3 linked regions of the Drosophila melanogaster genome follow. The protein of the gene in region 3 purifies or fractionates together with the protein of the main gene of each other region. This does not show direct contact. Each region holds a gene or a part of one and is shown on either strand. Other genes may lie near its edges.

Region 1 (4,675 bases), on a different chromosome or scaffold from region 3:
TATTGTACATTTGCTGCCGGCAATTCCGCTGAGCCGTGAACTGTTCGGCGTGTCATCATTCGCCTTGGCTTCAGTTGCTGAACATCATCATCATCATTATCATCAGACCCGGAATCACCAACATTATCACCACCGCCATATCCATATATGAGAGGTAAATTTCCACGGCGGCCCTAGACGCAAGGACAAGGTTGGGTCGGAGTTGGACGGTGTTGATGTCTGTGCACGTTGTTGTGTTCTGGCTGCTGTTATTGTTGTCTTTCGGTTGCTTTTTAACGTGCGCCCTTCGTGTTATTTACTTAACAATTTACTGAATAATTTACACTCCCCCCCTACCTTCCGCCCAGCGGATGGTGAAAGCTATCGTGTTGGGCATATTGGGCCAGGAAGTCAGCGTGCAGTGGAGTTTATAGATGCACAAAAACTTGGGCGCACAAATTGGTTTAGAATTTTTAAAATATTTGAACAGATTTATATAAAAATTTAAAATGAAAACAATTAAAATAAAAACATTTTAAATAAGACCATTTTCCCTCAAACGCACAGTTTAATTTAATTTTACTTTTACTGGAAAGTGGAATAGCTGGGTAGCATTTAGTCTAGCTGAAGCCAGGAAATTTTCCATAAGTTGCCTGTATTTTTTCGTTGCCGCTTCGCTTCCTGTTTGCTCCTTGCTGGCCACCCCCACCGCGCATCCCCCTCCACTTTCCACTGATGGGCGTTGAGTTATGAACCTGACTTTCCTTTTGGGGGTTTCGGTGTGGGGGGCTCAGTGGAAAGTAAAACTTTCACCTGTGCTGTGAGCCCGTGAGCCTGTATTTGTGTGTGTGTGTGTGGCTTGGTGTGGTTGATAGTTGTCCACAGAATCACACACACAGTAAAGTTACATACGCTTGTGTTTACTTAGTCGAGTCTTTGACTGACATTTAATGCGGTTAGCATACGTGTGTGCGTGTTCGCTTCACTGTGTTGATAATGTGCATAATAAGCCCTAATTAATGTTAAATAATGAATTTTCTCATTTGCACGCCGTCAGCGTTGAAAAGGCACTGCCTTCGGCATTTGCTCGATTCCATTTCATTTCGAGACAAACACACGTCTTTCGAAAATACTTGCTTCGAAATACTTGCAGTTTAACCCCCCGATTGCCACAAAAAAGGTTCCAATTTCGAGCAGATGGGGAGGTTAGAAATGGGGGCATGGCGAGTTCCTTTGTTGTGGTTCGTGCACCTTTCCTTTTTTTGAAATTTACCAAAGCCACAGCACAAACATTTCAAATAAATATCAGCAAGTTTTTCTTCAGGGTACTTTGTGTGTTTGGTAATTAAATGACCTTATCAAAGGGGCTTTATCTGGTTCGCAAGCCATTTGACAACCGTAATTTACACGAGCTTAATTGAATGTTGAACAAATTAATGACAAGAGCCGAAGGTTACTTCCCAAAAGGGTTGTATCTGCAAACAAATACTGGCCATTCAATTATTTGGAGCTCCTGTCCAAAGTTGTTGGAACTCTTTTATAAGTCCAAACTCCTGGTGAACTTCATTGCCAATCCCCCAATGAAGCCAATCCTCACAATGCCCAACTTCTCGTGGCCAACTCTTTTAAATCGAACACTTTTGTTTATTTACAAGCATTTAACTGAATTATACAAGCAACTTTGCGCATAACAAATATCGAATTTGGCTCCTTCGACCCCAAAATCGTAATGCGGGTTAAGATGAGGAGGAGTTCGAGCATATAAAAAGTTCAAACTGTCAGAACTTTGACAGCAATATTGTTGAGTTATATGTACAACAAGCGGAATAACTAAAACAGTGCAGAAATTAGAAACAACATACCGAAAATGTCCGAAAAACTTTGCCCTCGTCGAATCCTGCAACTTTTTCGCCTCGATTCTTATTAAGGATGTTGCTTTTGTTGTTTAGCCGATGATGTTGACGGTGGTGGTGCTGTTGTTGTCGCAGGAGAAAATCAATGTCGGCATATTTTATCCTTTTTTCATAGCCAGGCACAAATATACATGAAACATACATATACAAATAAAATACACCACTACACTGACACAGCAAAGGAGTAGGAAATCCAACCGAGAAGCCAGAAAAACAGTTGCCAAACTCAGCGTTTTTTTTTTATATGTATATGGCAGTTGATTAGCCGCCTGATGCTGTGGATTTTTATTATTACTTTGTTTGATTTTTTGCCCAACTTGGTTTTTCCTTGTTCGGTTTTTATGGGCCTTGATTTGATTGCATTTTGTTTGTGGAATATATATATGTATTTTTTGCTGTTTGCGCTGGCACTTTCGCTGACAGCCCTTGAGGCAATTATTTTTTAGACCCGAAATCGCTTACAACGTTTCAATATTTTGTTTGATTTTGTAGTGAATACATGTTGCAGCGAGTGCTCCTCAAGTTTGTTGTTTGTTTTATTTTATCTTTGCCCCCTCTGTTATTTTTCTCTTGTCACTTTTCGAGGTGGGTGGCATGCGCTGAGTGGCATGTCAATCAAAAATCAATCAAAATGTTCGCGTTTTCGCGCTCGTTAGCGTTTACACATGTTGTTGTCGCTGGCTTCTCAAATTGCGGCAAATGGATTTCAGGTTGTTTTCCGAATTTCCCGTCTCGCGTTACCCGGCGCACTCGGAAAATTCTTATGGCGACACGTACTGCTGCCCCCTCCCAAACTCTTGCCTCTTTCCACTTGCCACTGTACACAGACACACACACACACGCACAGAAACAGGGAAACCCAGGCACCAAGGAGCTAACTGCGGGTTTAGTTGAGTTAACTACGGATTAGTTGACCACCTGGTCAGGACCTTTGGCTCTTGGCAGCTCTAATTCCGGCGGAGTGCTCCACGGGCGGGTTTACGGATCCGTCCGGTTCGGAGCGAAAATAACGGAGCGGAACGGACTCGAACGGATCGACTGCGGCGTGTCTGTCGCTCACGGCGTACGCTTTTCAACTGCTGCGCCCGCAACGCTCGACGGATTTCCAGGCAGGCAGACGCCTCCGCCAAGTGGAAACCAAGCGGAGTTCGGCCTCCTCTCTCGGCAGCGTCCTCGTGCCTCGTTTTTCACTCGGCAAACAAACTGTTATACACGCTCTCTCCCGAGAGAGCGAGAGATTGTGTAGAAGAGAAAGAGCCGCAAGGGAAAGTCGCCCACCACTTTCACCGGTCTCTCAGCTACCTTATTTATATTTTCAATGTGATTTATATGCCTATTAAAAACCAAATCAACGGGACTTGTCAATTGCATACTATTAACAATTGATATGACAACTTAAGTAACATAAATACTAAATACAACTTGATAAAAATTTACCTACAATTCAGAAATTCATATAAAATAGATATAACATATAAAATGGAAATATTCGTATTGAACGGAAGCAACCAGAATACAGTAGTTATGAAGAGATTAAAGAAAATGCAATAATAAAATATATTTAAATAAAATATGTTGTTTAAACATATACATGCCTGGGCAACATTTTTAAGTTATAAATCTTTATTATTGTTATTGTTTGTGATCTCCTTGCCCGCTTTCTTGGTGAACACTATTCCGTTCTATTTTATATCCGGCCCTTTTCAGTATAAGAGCAATCATACAAACTGTTCCCAGATAATTTCCCCCTATGGGATGCTCTCCTAGTATCACAGTTGTTATAACAGAGCACTCGTTAAGGGAGTCGGCGCCACTCTGGAAATTCAAAGCGCACAGCCTGAAAAGCCAACCTCAACACTAGCAGCTGACTGACCGAGCGGGTGGAAAAACTTCACCACGGACTCTGGCGTGAAAACTCCCAAGCTGAAGTCCTCAGCCGGCGGGATATGTGGCCGGAATCGGAGGCTTCAGTTGCCAGTGCATTTCCCCACCGCCCACACACAGCCCCGCCCAAATACCCGTGACACCGAGCGAAGCGGGTCCCTGCGGAGGTGCCGAAAATCCATTTTGGCCAGAACCGAAGCCAAGAAGAAGTCTTGGGGTAAAATATAGAAGTGGGCGGTTGGCGAAAGCCAGCAGCGAAAAATATCGATTCGGTTCGATTGTTGTTGCCTGGCTGCCCGAATTGTATATTGCTTTATAAGCAGCTTCTGTCTTCGACAAAATATATATATATATGTATGAAAAAGGAAAAAACAGAAGAAAATCAGCAGACCCTGCCCTGCGGTTGCTTATTTGGCTGCTTTAGTTTCGATGCCATCAAGCGAAGTCCTTTTCGCGATTTCAAAACTGGAAAAAAAATAGAAATAAAACCAGAGATGGGAATTTTTCGTTTTACGCTGTTTTTCTTGTTTGATGCCTCTCCTTCTATCGAAATGAGTAAATAACCAATGAAGCAGATAGAAATGTTTATTGTTATTCTTCGGGGCTTTCTCTGCTTTGCGTGCTCCTCCTTGGTCATTCAAATCAATTCCGTAGGCAGCTTGTAGCTAAGTTTGTATCTCCGATTTCATCTGCATTTTTATTTAAATTTACATTGGCCCGGCATCAAGGAGACAAGATTGTCGTCTTGCCGAGTAAACGAGCCATTGCACATTATGAATGTTGGCTTACAATCTTTGTCCTCCTCCGCGAAAATTCTCCTTTGTCGGGAAGTACAATAATTAAGGCTGCGTTAAGTATACGCACCTTGGGCGCGGAGTGGTGCGGCTTGTTCGCCGTGT
Region 2 (4,710 bases), on a different chromosome or scaffold from region 3:
AAAATATACATCTTTTATTTTAAAACTTACACAATCAATTGGCGAAAAAATCGATTGCTCGCCAACACTTCTATTTCCCTATAACAAAAGATGCGTTTTTTAAATAAATAAAAAAACCAGTATTTTTTCTGTAAAAGATTTACTTTGCTTGTTTAAATTTTTTTAATTAGAAATCAAATTAACCAAATTTAAAATTAGGGTGTCCATAATTAGTTGTCGACTTTTACATTTCAAAACATTTTCAAGAAGTGTAGGCGTGGCAGATTTGAGCGATTTGTGGGCGTTAAAGTGGAGGTGCCAACATTACTTGACAACTAACTTGCGCTGCGTATGCCTCTTAAATCTTCAGGTCTAATAAAAAATTAGCTTCACTTTCTGGTATCTCTTATAAATAAATAGGAAATAAAGCTATATTAATATTAAGGCATAATAACAAACATCGAAAACTTCCAAAATTAAGCAATTTAAAGTATCTTTCATTGAAATGTAGTAATAATGCCATTGCTCTTATGCTATTATCAATGTGTACTGGTTTCCCATGATACCTTACTATTTAATTTTATGTAAAGGGAACCTTACATATTTATGTATTGGATTGGAATTGCCACTCGTTTCTCGCAGTGTATCTGGCTGGCTCCACACATGGGCGCGTGTATGCTCTCCCCTTACTGACGTACTTAATTCTTCGCAGTTATTCAGGGGCACAGAGAACGCTTCACTTTCCTTCTTTTTTCGCCGGTGACGTAATTAATGATGCTAGCCGCTGAAATTTTAAAATGAATTGCACTACCAAGCAGCAGCTCCTTTCCATTTTGTTCGACGATCAGAGGTCTTAAAATCAAACTTCTGTCAACTGGCTGATGAATTCATTCAGTTTCTAACGTTCGCGATGGAGCTGAAATTCTTATTTTGTGTTCAACTGATTTTTTGAATACATATGTATATATTTTGTACTGAGCTCTGTTCTTGAGAAGGGAGAATCTATAGTCGAGTATATCGGTTACTTGGCTAATGGAAATGCGAACGCGAAATTTTAACATTTTTCTTAGGTAGATATTATTGGGGAATGAAATAAGAAACTATTTAAAAATTGCTTGGGTAGTTTTTGGCGGCTTGTGAGCGTTAGAGTGGGCGTGGCAAAATGGGTCAACAAACTGGCTCTGCGTCTATGTTTATGTATAGAACATGTATGCTTAATCTCAACATCCTAGCTGTACAATAAGACAAAAAAAAAAAAACACATTTCATTGGCATCAGAATCGTTAAGGGTAAAATTGTCACGACTTTCGTACCATGGTTTTGTTTGATTTGATTATGGTGATAACTAAAATTATTTTTTTTTATTGAAAAAAAATTATTGATTTTAATTTTTTTTGTTTTTGTATACATTCATTAAGTGAAAAATCGCCGTAAATTTGATTTTATAATTCGTTACACACGTTTTGTTTCAGTGCTTTGTTGCTGTTGCAACCCCTCAGCTGACGTTCCAGTCGAACATGTTGCATGACGGCTCGGCTTAGTTCGGTTCGGTTCGCTGCGACTCGGTTCGATGCGGCTCGAGCGGCCTGCTCTCGAACAGATGTGCGTCGCAGTGTTGTTGCAAACGCCGGTCGCGTAGGTTGTTGCTAGAGTGAAACGTCGAGCGCATCGCCCACCCACATACACATATGTACGTACTCGAGTGCGCGAAGCAGTCAGTTGTTGCCGCCAATTGAATGGACAGTCGCGGTTAACGAAACACGAAAAGTCGTCTCGACTCGCCTCGCGTCGCGTGGAGTTCACTTGAGTTGAGTGGCGGCTAGTGTGTGTGTGTTTGCTTTTTTTTTCGAACGCCGCCAAACACGCGGCTGTTGCGGCTGTCCCGGAGTGCATTACTCACACTTTTTTTTCGGTTACTTGCAAGTGATACCCCTTAAACGAAAACAACAACAAGCCCCCCCCACCCACACACCACTTCAACCCCCTCACAAGCAGCTAAAGCCAAAAGGTGATTATATTTGGAAAAGTCACGCCGTGGAGTAAATAACGGAGCGGAGAGCGGATCAACACAAAGCGTGGTAAAGAGAGTGGAGAGATAAAGAGTTAAAATAAGTGCATAGAGTGCGAGTGGGAGAGATAGAGCGAGCGAGCGGGAGGGAGAGTGTAAGTGCTGCCCGTGTGTGAGAGTGTGTGTGTCTGTCTTCATGTACGTATGTGGCTTCTTTCAATGGTAGTCGTGTGTACCCGTTGAACCGGTTCAACACTCATCTTCGACTTACCTGCAAAACAACAGAAGCAGCAATGATAACAACAACAACAACGACAACAGCAGCGACTGCAGCGTGGTTTGTGCTTGGAAAAACATGAAAAACTGAAACTGAAGCAAAATGCAGCATCGCCAGAAGCAGCAGCAACAACAAAACGAGAACAACAACGTGCAGCTGCAGCAATTGTAATGTCAAATGAATCAAACAAACTGCATCATTTGCGTTTCCGAAGGCAGGAAAATAAGGGAAAGGCAAAGAAATGAAGAAAACATACATATTACATATGTATATATAAACATATATATTTAGGTATATATGTACGTATGTACGTAAAGTGCAGTCTGCAGTTTAAAAGCCATTAACCCCCAAAAACTGAAGTAACGAACCATCCGCACGGAGATCGCTGTTTTCCCCACTGAACTAACTTAATTCGTTTAGCCAGAATACACTGATCCCGTTGCAAATTGGTGGCTAATATGCAATATGATATTTAATTTGCAACCATATATTCTGCATATTTCACGCGTGTGTGCGTGAGCGCTGTAGGGTTAATACGAGAGCGCTCACTACCTGCGCGCCCTGCCAAGGGTTAAGCACTCAGGCAAGAAGTTTCGCGTGTAATTGACGTTGCCAAAAATTAAGAAAGAAAGAAAAACAAACAAACAAACGCAGAACAAAACAAAACAAAACAAACCAGTAAGGGAAGAACAAAAGCACGAACAGAAATTAGAAGACAGCGAACAGAAGAGAAACTTAACTTTTTCTCTGTTCTTATTTCAGGTTATATACCCTTGCAGATGGCACATTAAATTCGGTATATCGGAATATCATGATCAGTATTTAGAGTCTAATTAACGGTCCACCTGTCCGTTTGTCTGTCCATTTCCATAAAAAAAAGTCTCAGTTTTATAGCTATTGCATCATGTACATAGCTGTCATAGGAAAAATAAGAAAATTAACTGAAAGTGATAAAATAATCATCGGTTCTTAATCATGAAGTATTGCTCGGTATACAGGTGTTTTGTATTATTACTGCAAGGGTATGTAAGTTTCGGCTTACTTTCTTGTTCGCTTTTTTGTGTGTTTGTCCATGCAGTACAGTTAGCCGCCAGTGGTACTGTCGAAGTGTGCGTGTGTTTCTGCGGGTGCTATTACCTTGGTATTATTGGTAGGTATGTAGGTGCGTGTGTGTGTGTGTGTGTGTGTGAGTTGGTGTTTTTGGCGGAGCACTTTTTGTTTTCATGAATTTATCCTTGGGACGAATAAGAACTGCAGGCGAAAGGAGCGAAAATGTAGCAGGAGGACAGGGGAAATCGGGAAAGCTAAAAACAAACAAAGGGATTAGCAAAGATGCGAATATTGCGGCCCAGAAATTAAGACCACAAGAAAAAGTGCCAATAAGAGTTGTTGGGAAACAATTGGAGGATATACCCACGCCCAAACATTTTTGATGTGTATGCAGTGTATGCATTCGCTTTGAGGAATGCTTCATCTGGTTTCATCAATCTTTTGACGGAAATGGAGTTTATACATATGTATACTATCCTAGAAATGCTATAAATTAAAATAGTGCGCGTTATTTACGGAAAATATAAAATCTGTAGTCAAAATTTATGTTTACTACCCTAAATTTTTATGGGTATTAAATGGTATAATATGATTATGGATCTAATTTTGGGGCGCCTTTTTACTACAAGCCAAATTAAATATGACAGAAATGGAATTTTTCGATTTAGGGATGCGTACGACTATTATGATTTCCTCATGACGAAAATAGATTTTCCACTTCAAAAGACAAATATTCCCTACTCTTTCTACTGAGTAACATAGAAAAGCGGTGCAGAAATCTACACTTAATTTTTGTCTCACAAAACACTTGGATCAAACAGAAACAACAAATTTGGTACCCATACAATATGTACAGTTGCCACAAAAACGATCAAGACCAATTAGAAATGTGTATGTATGTATTTGATTGAAAGCAATTATTAAACAAAATTCACTTAAGTATTGTTTTTTTTTTTATTTTCTACATGAACCATTAATCGAAATGATACTAAAAGGAACATGTGAGACATTTATAAACAAGCACTTGAAGCCATATGTACATACATACATAGCATAGATTAGTCGTCAATCTTATAGATAAAATGTTGTAAAAAACGTTCTGCAATAAATAAGATTTACAATTAAAAACCAAATAAGCACATGAAAGGGATTTTCTTTTCTATGGCTTTGAACATCTCACATCTGTAATATTACATTCAACCCAAGTAAGTGTAATTAAAGATTATCCAAGGAAAGCCTGAATAAGGATTTTAGAAAAATCATAAATAACGTTAAGCAAAAAGTACTTGAAGAGATTTACCTTCAATTTGTTGACAAGACGAGACGAGACGAAGTTTTCAGTGCGATTTGCGTCTGGCTTAAGCTGAATTTTTTGGCTGTATGCCTGTGGCAATTT
Region 3 (5,113 bases):
AAAGGGGGGCGGACGTTTAATACTTTTTGTCATTGTCAATTCATTCGCCGTCGATTTGCATTTGCATTTGACTCGATTGCGATTCAGCCAGTGTCTTCAACGTGAATTCGGAAACCTGAAGCGAAAGAGAAACTGCCATGAGTTATTTGGTCAAATATTAGTCGCAAAAAAATGGCAAATACACGACCATTTCTCGCACCATTTCCATTGGGACACGAAACAGACAATAAGTGATGGTTTTTCCGCAGCGGAAATGCTTCAAAGTGCTTATTTGTTGCCCACAGTTCACTTGGGCTTATTGTTAAGTTAAACAATCAACAACTAAAACAATAACACAAACACGAACTACACCACCGACAGCCTCTTGAGCAAACAACAGCCAAACAACTCGAACAACTCCCGTAAATAGCGAAAATAAATTGCCAAAAGTGAAAGTGACGAACAAGCTCCAGACAACAAGATTAAGTATACGCAGATTAAGTATACGCCGCGAAGATAATGGACTGGACACGCCCCATGCATTGTGGGGGCGTTCTCAATTGGCGACCCGAGCTGTCAGCTAATGACAATACTTATAAACTCTAATGATTTATTAGGACTCTAAAACGGAATTTCAATATGCCGGTATTTAAATCGGATGTTTTATAGACAATTTAAGTTTAGATCAATGCAAGATATTTTGCATATTTAAAGTGATATATTACCAACTGTTGGAGAGAATATATATATAATAATACAAGCAGTTTTTATTGCGGAAACTATGAGATAACTTTGACTAGATTTCGATAGTTAGCAATGCTTTTATATGAACAAGAAGCTCAAAGAAAAATTCCCAACATGTTTCCCGTATGAAATCAACTTTTAAAATCTGGGAAAATTAAAAATCCCGTAATTAAATGTTAATTAACAGCTGACATAACTAACGAAAGTGAGCTAAAAATTAACAAAAAATGTTATACAAATATTTTAATTATTATAATGTAACAATGCTAACAAGTGATCAAATCTAAAGCTGTCACAGTCAATGGTAAAAACCGGATTTCGTGTCAAGTTTTGCTATAGTTTCAATATAATGTGTACCACAATTATTTATAGAACAAAAAGCAATAACAATTGCCTTTAACACTCAGACATGGGGTGCCTGTAAAAACAGCGAGCATTCAAGAATCAATTGGAATTTATACCGATACAAAAACACCTGCCACAAGCTGCGATAGGATTTCCGGGATCACAGGCTCTTTTGCACGAGCCAAGCAAAACAAATCAGTCAACAAACAAGAGCCAATGACAAAGTGTCCGTCAAGGTACACAGGAAATAATTATATTAATAATATTAAAAATGAAAAAATAAAGAAAACAATTATAATAAATGAACATTCACGGCATATTAAAGTATCAAACAGAAGTTTGAAACACAAAATGTTGTTTAGTAGTTGAGCTGGGCTTTAAATGCTTATACAATTTTATATATACATATAATAACACATATTTCTCTGAGATTAAAATAGCTTAGGTATTTTGAAACCACGTTTCCAACCATGTTTTCTGCTGTGCATCGAAGCCAGATTTAGTGTCTGCGATCTGCTAATGGAGTCTTGCACATGGCTACACCCACGTATTGCTGGTATTTCCCCGATGCCAAAGTTGCGCCAGGCGATCACCTCATAAATCACAGAGCAGCCAAAAGAAGTTGGACATGGGTTTTGGCATTGTTTCCCTTGGCAACTTTAGTGGCAGCGTGTTTTATGGTGTGTTTTGGGCCATTTGCACATCATTAGGCCGACGGGCCAAAAGTTAATGAAATTGTTAAAGATCTTTGACCAAGCTTTAGCGGCTAATCCATTGGCTGCGGCATCATTTTCGAAATTGAGTGCTCAAAATCGCTGGGCCCCATTCAATTTATTTGAATGATTTGGCCGCAAAATCATCTATCTATATTTAATTAATTATATCCCGCCTGAGTAATGATCGATTGTCAGATCTTTATCTTTGTCTCGCCCAGACATTCTCACTTATTCACCCGATTGGCACTTTTTTAAGGGGATAAAATATTTTGTTGGCATCTAATTGAAGCATTAGCAGGCTAAAAAAAAGAGCTGAATGAAACGAAATGCTGCTAATTAATTATAAAGCTATTTAATAATAATGATTGCTTATTAAGTTTTTATTACGCGAGTGTTTGACACAGGAAAGTTTTAAGCTCTCTAGTTTATTTAATTGGTAAACTTGTATACTTTCCACAATATCTATCCTTACTTCTATCCATTAAATAAACTATCAAAGAGACAGACTTCTGCTTCGGGCATTTTTTCCAAAGCCTCTGAATTATTTTCCTTCACAAAGAGGTTGGGTTATTTGAAGCTAATTTAGGGACTAAAACAATGGATTCGATTGGAGGCAGACAAATAGCTGAGCTTCATTATAATTTTTTAAACATATATTTTATGCCTGCATTTAGCTAAGAAATTAAGCACGACTTTTCAAGGTTTTTTCTCCCCACTTGATTATATTTTGTTTGTATTTACCCAAAGTGTTGTCTGCATTTTTTGTGGATTTTGTTTTGTGATCGCTTTGATTTAATTTGTGTTTGCTGGTTTCCTAACATTTTGGTTACAAGTGTATACAAAAAGAAGGAAAACAATCAAGCGTTATAATAAATCAGAGCTGCGATGACGAACCAATGAAATTTATTAACTTATGGCGGGAATTAAAGTATTCAATTTAATAATTACTCACCTAGTGTGCGGCTTGTAGATTTGTTTGGGTTTTTGCTTCACAGTATTTGGCAAATGTTTTTGATCACTATGTGCACTTTTGTCGAGCTTAGCTATGCTCTTTGTATTTCAGTGAAATATTTTCTCTTTTTTTGCCACCGAACACTCACTTGAAAATTCTACTAATTAAAAAACTTAACACGTACCGAAGAGCGCGGATATTTCGGTTTTTGGACTTTAGGTTTTCGATTTCGATTTCGTTTTCGTCTTTTCCGTTTCACGCGTTTGCCAATGCTCACGGCGGCAGCTCGTAGCCAACTGAGCGGTCTTAGCCAAGTTAACAGCGGCCCAGAGCCGCAAACTCGGGAAAAGAGGCAGAGAAAAGCAGAGCTTGGGTCAGAGCAGAGCTATATAGCAAAAGATATAGCCGGCTCTGATCTCCCAGGCTAATCTCTCAATTTAGCCCGCTCAACTTTGAACTTTTTGGCCCGTGATTCATGTCGTTGGCCACATAGTATAATGTGATATGTGGTGCGGTTTTCTTTTTCTTTTTTGGCCCGATTCAAGACCGGAAGTCCAGTGGTTCGGGCCATTCGATATGACGTGGGCCTTATTTATTGACCACTTTTATTGTTTATTTTACATTGTCGCCAATATGCGAACTGCAATAAAGTGAATTTATTTAAATTGTTAATTTTTCTGCTCGCCAATTGTTGTTCGTCGTTGCCGCCGGTTTTGGCCCATAGATACGGCGCATTGTTCGGGCGATGAATTTGGATTTTTATGGCCAATGAAGGTCAGTTAACAGCTTTTATCTGTCGCAGATTTGTGACTGCTGCCGTTGATTTGATTTGGCGCTGCCTCCGGCACAGACATTGAATGTTGGCAAGAAAAGGCTTTTAATGGCCAAGACCACGCACAATTGTAGGAGTTACCTCCGATTTTGTCTCTCGTCGAAGGCATTTAAATCAATTTTGCGCGTTGCCAAAGCTGGAATTATGGGTAATATTTCAGCACAGGTATATTGGGAATTATTTTTTTTTTTTTCATTCCTAATAAATATTTACAATACTTTTTAACCAAGAAGAAAGCGCTGAGCAGTAATTTCTCTGTCAATTTATTTTAAAGTATTGAATATGCAATATGTGTGTACATAATTAGAAAAAAACAAATAAATTTAATTTTTAAAAAGGTTGAAAGAGATGTATACCGTAAAATAGTTTTAAACTATCAAAGGCCTAAATTATTTTTATGGTTCAAAGTATAAGCCAAATAGACCGAAATATATCTAGTAAGATTTTCAAGATTTTCAGAAAATGAAATGAATTATTTAAATTCGATAATTAGTGATAAAAATGAGTATGGTTACATGATTTACTCACTGGGTATCCAGTTAGTCCACTCTCCGCAAACTCGAACATTATTTATGTTTACAGCTGATTGCCAATAGCAAGAGATTTGCACTCTCAAATCTTCCGAGGCGGTTTTGGAATTTTATCCGTCGCCTTGGGTGCTTCATCGTTCAATTTTGGTTTCTTGGCTCCAATTTTGCACAACTTTCACAAAGACGAGACCTAGACAGAAAAGTACGGGAAAACCCTCGCCGAAATCACAATATGGGGCTCCAAGCTCTTATCGAAAATGGTTTTTAATGCGTTTTTAAGTCAAATTAGTGACTTCATCAGTCTGCCGGCCGAGCAGGCTCAGATTCGATTTGAGATTCACTTAAGCCGCTCATTAATCAAACTCCGAGCCCAAGGTATCGGGACCAAAGGTATCATTTTATACCTAAAACTATCGCGGCTACATATGTATATAACACGTGGAGGGGCCACTCCCCCAACTTCCCACCGCCGTTTTAAGGCTTAGCTGCAATTGCGAAAGGGTTAATTAGGGGCTGGGTCCACCAACTCAATGCCGCCGGTTGGCCAATGAAACCATTAAAGCCGTCGATTGCCCTGGGCAATTTGTACCTCTTTTCCATTATTTTTGGCCCACTAGCTCGCCGAACATCACCCGCTGCCCGTGACGTAATGGCTAAAGGTGCTTAGGGTCGATCCGCTTAAAGATCGGCCTATTTTATGAAGTATCTCCTCTAAACCAAGAAACGTATCGGAACCGCCTCGAAAACGCTAGAAAAACTCGGTCGTTTCGCCTTTTGGTTGTGATCTTCGATTGCTAGCTGACAGAAGCTAAGTAATATTACACAAGTTTGTTTATTTATTGTTTATATGTTGATTAAAAACCCGGACCAATTTTACTAATTATCAATTTTAATACTCCAAATAATTAAGAAAATTTTTTAATAATTATCTTAATTTTACTACCTTTTAATTATCTGGACCATCTTCAAGGGACTAAAAAATAGTATTACTTATAAATAATATTTGCAAAGCCAT

Evidence for each region.
Region 1: the proteins of spz5 (region 3) and kek2 purify together in Drosophila melanogaster (affinity purification with western blotting, with the first as the bait; one study listed by BioGRID). This does not show direct contact.
Region 2: the proteins of spz5 (region 3) and kek5 purify together in Drosophila melanogaster (affinity purification with western blotting, with the first as the bait; one study listed by BioGRID). This does not show direct contact.

Annotation. Positions count from the first base shown.
Region 1 is NT_033779.5:11,580,269-11,584,943, reverse strand, and holds the start of kek2 (kekkon 2), read right to left. Parts: upstream 3,008-4,675; 5' UTR 1,842-3,007; intron 1-1,841.
Region 2 is NC_004354.4:19,351,597-19,356,306, forward strand, and holds the start of kek5 (kekkon 5), read left to right. Parts: upstream 1-1,584; 5' UTR 1,585-2,057; intron 2,058-4,710.
Region 3 is NT_037436.4:2,889,131-2,894,243, forward strand, and holds the start of spz5 (spatzle 5), read right to left. Parts: upstream 3,037-5,113; 5' UTR 2,737-3,036; intron 116-2,736; 5' UTR 34-115; coding exon 1-33. UniProt on the Drosophila melanogaster protein: Neurotrophin which may function as a ligand for the Toll-related receptors Toll-6 and Toll-7. Binds to Toll-7 and Toll-6, and probably acts as their ligands in the promotion of motor axon targeting and neuronal survival in the central nervous system (CNS).